Linked DNA regions of Schizosaccharomyces pombe. Changing the gene in region 1 together with any one later gene gives a genetic interaction. Each region holds a gene or a part of one and is shown on either strand. Other genes may lie near its edges.

Region 1 (3,957 bases):
TTTATTCACAATCCAAAATTTGGACCTTAAAATTCATTAATAGATTGCTTTTAGATTAGAATATGAAATTGGAAGATGGTAGACGACTTAACGGACAAGAATTACTCTTTGGAAACATTTTGGACATTATAATAAAGGGCTCTGAATCCAAATACTTCTTGATTTGCGTGATAAACTTCATGAAGGTTTGAATCATCAACAGACCAGCCTAAGCTGGCAAATTTATTAACAGTTGGCAATAACAAGGGCTCAATTGAATCTTTCAAAACATTATTAAGAACTTCCAAATCTTTGGTTGTTCTTTGAGATGAAGGACTTGTGAGCCATACAGAGCAACGAGTCGATACCAAATCGTGAAGTGTCGGAATCCACGATGAAGAATAAAGTGGATGACTTATAAGAGGCATCGGAAGAAAAAAAGTATCATAGTAGGGGTCAAAAGGCTCAAAGGCTCCAACTCTATGCAAATTGTGGTAGTAATCCTGATGAAAATGAAGGCTGAGTGGGGAAGGCAAATTGGGTTGCTTAGAAGGAACAACAACTTCAGGTCCGATAAAATGCAATTGAAATAAACGACCTGGGAACAAAAAGTTCAATCCTTGTAACCAAATTGATGGTGGTAATGAACATTCTTTGGTAGCACCCAAAACGAAAATTCTAGTGGGTCTGGGATCAGTAGATTGAGCAGACAAAGGACGATGAAGCATATATCGTAGAGCAGTTAATGATTGTAGACCCTGGGGAGTTAACCCATTTTTTAAATTATAAGGAGAATTCTTGTGAAGGATAGCGCCGATTGACATGGGATATGTTAATAAACTAGTAATATGTCTAGCAGTTCTAGACGATTGGAACTTTGGGAAATCGCGGGTATAGAAGAATGAATCCCATGACAGAAGAGAAACTACTTCATCTTCTTCCATGGGTCCAGGAAGTTTGAGTAGTTCCGGCAAAGGGTTTGGTCGTGCTAAGTCATGATAGTCTTCATTAATTTGGCGTAGTTTTGGGATAAGGGATTGGTGAATCTTGTCCTGTTCCCAATGAGTTCTATTACAATGAGTAGGAAATCCAGATTCAGGACACTCATATTCCACTGACTTTCCCGAAATTGGACACCGATAGACTTGTTTGATATGCTCAGAGCGACGGCGAAGAGCCGTTAAGGGAGAACGCGATAAAGGATGGAATAATTCATGAGTTGGGGATTTCTTCTTGAAGAGATTTTTTAAAAACGACATAAGTAAAAAAAATATAAGCGAAACGTCACTCTTGAACCAAAAAACAACCTTCTACCGGTTTCAATGTAACTATAGGTAATGAAATAAATTTTTATGTCGGTGTTGCAGCTAAATTTAACAAGTATTGATTTAGGTGAACGTGTTTAGTAGCAGACGAAGAAACTAAAATTAAAAATGTCAAGGAACATAAAAAATACGTTAACAAGGCAAACTATTGAAATGCTTAGTAAAAAAAATTAACAAATTAGTTCGTAGAAGCAATTGCTTTGTTCATTAGCAACCGACATTCAGTAGCGAATTTTATTCTTTAAAAAAATATTAAGTATTGAGTTGACTCAACAAAGAGGTGATTTTCAATAATGTTGATATTAAAGAACTATCTAGTAAATCAATTGCATAACGGGAAATGCACTTTCTTTATTGGAAGTCTACAATGCAACTATAAGGAATACGAATCATCTCGAAAGTAGCTGTGTTAATCTAAGCTTCTATAATTTTCATTGCTCGTAATGTAAAGTGAACTCAATATTTTAGTAACAGTTCCAGCTGGCCCAACAAGACTGCAAACTGACCATACAGAATCCCAAAGCTGTTGTACTAATGAGCAACTAAAAATATATCTGATAAATTCTCAATGTTACATAGATGATTTATAACTTTACTGCGAAAATGTCTGCCTCTTATGACAAGCAAGTCATTAATTATCAGAGCCTTGCGAACCTATTCGTCTGCCACCTGACCTCGTCAAAGGCAGTAATTAAATTGGCAATATAATTCAGGCAAGATTTTTCAATTTTCTAAAATCCTTCGAATGCCCGCCTCCAAATATGCTGGATGGTCTCGAGACCAGCTAATATCCAGAATTTTAGAATTGGACGGGAAATTGCAAAAAAATACAAATTCACTTCCCAATAAAGAAATTGAGGGGAAAAATGAAGTAATTAAAAATAAAAACAAATTGGATAATGGAAATGAAATAGAACCCCAGCATCTGAGCCAAGAACTAGTTTTGCAACATGCGCTTCAGGACGCAAGTAGTCTTCCAAAACTGAAACCTGTCAGACCGTTTCAACTAGAAAAAACAGTTTTTGTTGCTTTTAAATTTGCCTATTGTGGTTGGAATTACAATGGTCTTGCCTACCAGTTAGAACCGACTCCTTTGCCCACTGTTGAAGGAAAGGTGTTTGAAGCGCTGTTGAGAGCTCATCTCATCACTGATCCTTCATCATGTTCCTTTAGTCGATGTGGACGTACTGATAAGGGAGTTTCAGCCATGGGTCAGGTTATATCATTAAATGTACGACATTCAGAAAGAAGACCTATCATATATTGTGATGTATTGAATCGCCTGTTGCCCGCAGATATACGTATTACTGGCTATGCATTTCCACCAGAAGGCTTTGATGCTCGATTTTCCTGTAAACAGCGTCATTATAAATACTTGTTTACTAAGGATTATCCCGGTGGTTCTCTTGACATTGATCGAATGAATGAAGCCGCAGCACTTTATCTAGGTGAGCATGACTTTCGAAATTTTTGCAAAATAGATGCTTCTAAACAAATTACAAATTATCACCGTCGAATTCTCAGTTCAAAGGTTATTTGCATTGATCCCAGTACCGGTCTTTACGCTTTTGACCTACAAGGAACTGCATTTTTATGGCATCAGGTACGATGTATGATGGCCATTCTATTTTTAATTGGTCAAAAGCTTGAGCCGGCCTCTCTCATCAATGATCTTTTGGATATTAAAAAGGTCCCTACTAAGCCAATTTATGATATGGCAAGTGAGTATCCTTTGATTTTGTACGACTGTGACTTTGATAATATTGAATGGACACTACCTACGGATAGTCCTACGACTGCTCCTCGTATCGCTAAACATACATATGAAACCATATATCATCAGTGGCATAGTCTACGTATTCGAGAGCAGATAGCTTCGTTTATGCTTGACATAGCAGATCATAATGTAAAAAGATATGGCAAATCGGAAGAGTCAAGCAGTACTATGAACGTTGGTGAAGGATTGCTGAAGCGAACAAAAAAGTACATCCCAATTCTTTCTAGACAACGTCAGGAATCAGTGGAGGTCGTCAATGAAAGATATAAACGTAAAAAAGGTTTAAAAGACAGTGACGTGAAGAGTGAAAATATTAAATAGATTGTCTTATGACAGAACAGGTTTTAGGTTAATTGCTAATTTTATTTTGGTCCAAAATATATTATCAATTTTAGTATAACCTTCTTAAATAATTAGTTGTAAGTAAGACTTATGATGTACTAAAATTATTTTGCTTTAAAAAGGTATTCCTTGTGTATGTAAGGGACAAGGGTTTCCGGAACTTTAACAGTGCCATCCTCTTGTTGGTGATTTTCAAGGATAGCTATTATTAACCTAGGGATGGCAGCTGCTGTGCCGTTCAGTGTGTGAACAAAACCCGAGTCTTTGTCATTTCGATATCGTGTGAGTAGACGCCTAGCTTGGTATTCAAGACAATTAGATGCTGAAGTTATCTCCCCGTATGATTGTCGCGCTGGCATCCACGCTTCGATGTCATATTTTTGAGAGGCCGAAGATCCCAATTCCGCAGTTGGCATATTCAAAATTCTATATTCGTTAGCATTAGATCATTAAAGTGGTATTTTTGTTAGATTTGATATGTACCTTGCGGGTATTTTTAAAGTTTCTACAAACTCTTTTTGAAAATTAACAATC
Region 2 (4,959 bases), 2.2 Mb from region 1:
ACCCAAATGATAATTGGGTATCAAGTTTCGTTATATTTTAACATTATCTCTAACGTTTGCGAGAGCTGGTAGCCGCCTTTAGTCGTTCGATTTCAAGTTCAATTTGTTTTATTTGAACATGCTGAGCTTCCAAATCTTTATTTAATGAGTCGCGTTCGGCAATCAAGCGTTGTTCCCATTGTCGAAATCGAGTTTCTTCTACGCGCACTTGTTCTGTAAATCTTTTTCTCAAATTTTCTTCTTCTTCCTTAAATTTCGCATTATCAATAGTCCGCAGTTTAGGTTCTCCATACTGGCGAACTTTCATCTGCTCTTGTCGATATTGCTCATACAACTTTTCTTCAGTAGTTTGAATCAAATCAAGCATACAACTCCGAATTAAAATATTCCTAAGCTGTTTAAAGTCGCAGTGTTCTTCGTTCTCAATTTCAACAATTCCCCATGGGTATTCTCTACCCTTAACGACCCTACCATCAGGAGTACGGATGTCATCTTCGCTTCCAACAATCGCGAATGGCATGCAATTAATGATTCCTTGAATTTGTCTGTGAAAAACGGGATCGCCCTCATCCATATTAGGTTTATAAACATTGACTTGATGGTATTCTAAAACTTGAGAAATTCTAGTTTTATACAGAGCTAAATCCCTTCGAGTATACATATCGGCTTTAGCTATGACAGGAATTAAATTGACACGCTTAGAAATATGTTTCATAGCCTCCAAATCCATAGGCCGAACACCATTTCTTACGGGACGCAAAAAATATAGGCAAGCATGAATACGCATATCAATGATCTTACGACGATCTGGCTGCTGATCTTGTCTCATGTACGATTCATGCTGGTCTTCTATAAATTCAACTACCGACTCCCAACATCCTGAATTATTGATAAAATCCCCAAAACCAGGGGTATCAATTACTGTCAACCTTAAGTGGAAATTTTTTTCTTCTAACTCAGCTTTTGTAATCTCTATTTCGACCGTTTTCTCAGCATGCTTCGCACGAACCTTTTCCGGGCCCATATGTGATTTAATTGTTGTTGAAAAGAGTGTATTACAAAATGTTGTTTTACCAAGACCCGACTCTCCACAAAGCATCAAAGTGAAAGCTACACCATTTCGTGAAACTATTTTGTGACGCTGATTAGGTAAATCCGCAATTCCAACGAAGTTTGTCTCTTCTTCATTCATGACGCGCAGAGATGAATAGTATATTTCCTTTGTTTAACGGTCTGTAAAATATTGACTTAAAAGCTTCCAAACTAAATAAAAAAGTTTCCAAAAAATGCAAGAGAATTGTTATTAGTTTTATTAAAGCATAAATGGTAAAAAACGGAAGGTCTAAGTAAATAGATAATCGAAGCTTCGTTGCAATCACTCGTTAGCGATATAACTATATGATCACTATACCTCATTATATTTTTAACGGGCTTTCGTCTCGTAAATATACTAACTATCATTACTAGTTTGCTCATTAAATTTCATAAAGATTCTGAATGCCAGAAATTATGCTTGGCAAATATATAAAAACCTCTATACTACGTAACAGAAATAGATTGCTGGGAAGTATGCATTTAAGTTATTGATTTAATGTTCATTATATTGTTCAAGAAAATAGTTACTACACAGGTAATATGATGATCAAAATCGTTGTTTTAGTTGATATACAAGTACTAACTTGTTGCAGTGTAAAGTTAATTCGTGGCAGCATAGTAATTAACGGCAGCATTGATAGCATTTTCTAAATTATTTAACGAATTTTACGTTCGTAGCTTTGAGAGTTAATGTGAGATATCGTTATTAATATTTAACTAATGAAACATGGCTACACTAAACAAATGTTAACTAAAATAATAGCATAGTGGGCGTAGGGATAGGTTAACCATAATATCTTGAAAAGACTAAAAAAATTTATCTCAACACATTAGTTTTAAAAACTTCTTTACTTCAGTCTTGTATGATTTAAAATTACAGATTTGAGCGGATCTTCATATACTTCACACTGACTTATTTTATTAACTCTTCAATAATCGTGAATGCACCCGGTAATTTAGACCAACGAAAAATTAAGTCCCAATTTTTCTTTGGCTAATTATATTGATTTGTTAAAACGCAATTAAATAACACTACCTTCTAATTTTTCGTAATACATATATATATATATATATTATATGTTTTTTTGAAATTTATAATGGTATTTGCAGACTATAAACAACGTGTTGAAAATGGCGATTTGGCAGTAGCTTGGATTGGTAGGAACAAGTTGATTCCTTTACATATAGAAGCTGAAAAAACATTTCATAATCAATATGGTGCCTTCCCACATTCCGAAATGATTGGTAAAAGGTACGGCGAGCAAATTGCATCTACAGCGAAGCAAGGATTTATTTACCTTCTTCAACCAACTCCGGAACTATGGACCCTCGCTCTTCCTCACAGAACACAAATTGTTTACACTCCAGATATTGCTTTAATCCACCAAAAGCTTCGTATCACTTACGGAACCCGAGTAATAGAAGCTGGTACTGGTAGTGCTAGCATGTCACACGCAATATCGCGAACAGTCGGCCCTCTTGGAAGATTATTTACTTTCGAATATCACGCAACTCGCTATCAAACAGCGTTACAAGAATTTCGGGAACACGAGATGTTAATTGATGTGGGTGGAAATACTCATCTAACTCATAGAGATGTCTGCAAAGATGGTTTTTTGGATACGGAGGTAAAGGTTGACGCTATATTTTTAGACCTTCCAGCTCCCTGGGAAGCAATACCGCATCTTTCGAATCATGTAAATCATGATAAAAGCACTCGAATTTGTTGTTTTTCTCCTTGTATAGAACAAATTCAACATTCTGCTGAAGCACTACGAGAACTTGGCTGGTGTGATATTGAAATGATTGAAGTTGATTATAAGCAATGGGCTGCTCGTAAGAGTCGAATTGTTCATATTGACGAAGCAATCGATAGGCTAAAAGAGGTTAAAAGAAGGAGGATCGAAGGATTTGAGAGAAGAAAAATGAGGCGTGAACAAAACTTATCTTCTGATGCGAAGGTAGAAGATCAAGATAACGATTCAATGCTTGGTGAAAACAAGTCTTCTGTGTCCACAGAAACGGCGTTAAAGCCCGTTACTAACAAACGCATTAGAGAAGGTGATGGAAATTACGAATGGACAGATGTTGCAAGAGTTGATTCTAACTTAAAATCACACACCAGTTATTTGCTATTTGCGGTGCATTTGCCATCTCAGCTAGATAAACAGAACCAGGAGACAGGCCCTTAGATAACTTTCATATTTATGCAAAACAGAAATTTAGTGAAAATAGGCCGAAGTACTCCAAAGGACACACAGGCACGGTAAATGACATACAGGGTACAAAAAATAATATTAACGCGTCAAACATTCAAAACTTGTTATTATAAAAACGTAACTACCCAAATTGAGATCGAGTATAATGTCATAGAATTATTGACTTATGTGCTTTTTACTCTCGGAGCCGTCAGGAGAAGCTGAGCGTTTACGGCTCAACTTGTCCTGAATTTCAGTTTCCTGAGATAGTCTATCTACCTTTCTTTTCAGTTCCAGTAGCGAAACGATTGAGTTTTGTAGCTCAACGAACTTCTCAAAGTTTTTAGCTGTCGGCATAATCAGCCTTGAAGAAACTCCTAGTTCAGTCATAACTGACGAAACTCTCTGCGATAAAGAAGCCTTTATGGCAGGGATTTTTTGGGAACGAACAAAAGTGCCCGGATGTAGTTTTTCGTGCCAAGTGATGCCAAATTGTGGATCTGTCGGTTGCGGACCGTATCTGATTCTTGGTGTGCTGAGAGCATGTGGACGAGTAGGGGTATTTAAAACACTAGACACTCCAGAAGAAGGGGCTGAAGAAGATACAATAGCTTCCTCCACTTTATTTTTGGTTCTTTGAGAATTAATCATATCTTGAATTAAACTGCTCATTCCAGCACTTGTGTGATATTCATGAATGCCACCATCTCCTTTCTGTTCATCTAATAGACGGAGAACTTCGTCTCTATCACTTAATAATTTAGCCTGTGATGTTTCAATACGTTTTAATTCAATAAATAAAGCTTCTTCTTCTGCAACTTCTTCAGGCGTCCTAGAAGCAAGCCCAATTAGATACTTCTTCCGAATAACTTCTTGCTCTTTATTGTACTCCATCGTATTCAACAAAGAGCTCTGTGCAGCAGTCATTGAATTAATGGGATTCCTGGCTAATAGAATTTTTCGCGACACAGAATAAAATCTGTCTTTTAAATCTTCAAGCGTTCGATGTTTTTTATATTTTTCATTATCATAACGATCTGCTATTACAAAGAACCTCAAGTCATAATCTTTGCATAAACGGAATAGGTAGTCGGTTTCATCTTTATTCCAATCCTCATCTACAACAAATTAGTTAATGAAATATAGTAGAGAATCTCAACCTTTTAAATAATTTTGGTACTCTTCGTCGGTGTAGTCAATTATAAACAGAGGGACGTTAAATTTTTCAAATTTGTATGCTACACAGTTTAGGTTAGTTTAACCAAGCGCTTATCAAATAAAATTTCAAACATACAGGCTTCAGAATCTACTTCTGATTTAAGGACCCAATGATGCAAAGTAAAATCATCCTTACGGCTTGATATGGAAAAGGGCTGGCGTACCCTACAAATTAGTAAATTCCTTACTGAATACACAAATTTATTTATTTGAGCTCTGATTTACTCACCAATTTTTAGCTTTGTGACTAACTTTTGGTTTTTCCTTAAATTTCTTTTGGTATATTGCTAACGGGGCAGAATTCTCGCCTAGCAATGAATAAAGTTCTCGAGAAATTCCTTCTGGCCTTCTCTCTGTTGGAGTTTTAGATTTCTGCTTATTTCCTATTTCAGGAGGAGGTAATTCAAAGACATCCCGAATGTCAGCACTAGTCATTGTATTTTGAACT

Evidence for each region.
Region 2: mutations in deg1 (region 1) and trm61 together harm fitness more than expected from each alone (negative genetic interaction), as found in Schizosaccharomyces pombe (2 studies listed by BioGRID).

What each region holds. Positions count from the first base shown.
Region 1 is NC_003424.3:4,160,751-4,164,707, forward strand, and holds deg1 (tRNA-pseudouridine synthase), read left to right. Parts: upstream 1-1,968; 5' UTR 1,969-2,049; coding exon 2,050-3,402; 3' UTR 3,403-3,457; downstream 3,458-3,957. Other genes in the region: splicing suppressor Mss51, read right to left, coding at 102-1,238; dia4 (serine--tRNA (Ser) ligase), read right to left, coding at 3,528-3,849, 3,907-3,957.
Region 2 is NC_003424.3:1,991,738-1,996,696, forward strand, and holds trm61 (tRNA (m1A) methyltransferase complex catalytic subunit Trm61), read left to right. Parts: upstream 1-1,919; 5' UTR 1,920-2,192; coding exon 2,193-3,287; 3' UTR 3,288-3,470; coding exon of another isoform or gene 3,471-4,411; 3' UTR 4,412-4,453; downstream 4,454-4,959. Other genes in the region: mitotic septin Spn4, read right to left, coding at 50-1,192; Swr1 complex/NuA4 histone acetyltransferase complex subunit Swc4, read right to left, coding at 3,471-4,411, 4,454-4,531, 4,588-4,676, 4,741-4,946. UniProt on the Schizosaccharomyces pombe protein: Catalytic subunit of tRNA (adenine-N(1)-)-methyltransferase, which catalyzes the formation of N(1)-methyladenine at position 58 (m1A58) in initiator methionyl-tRNA.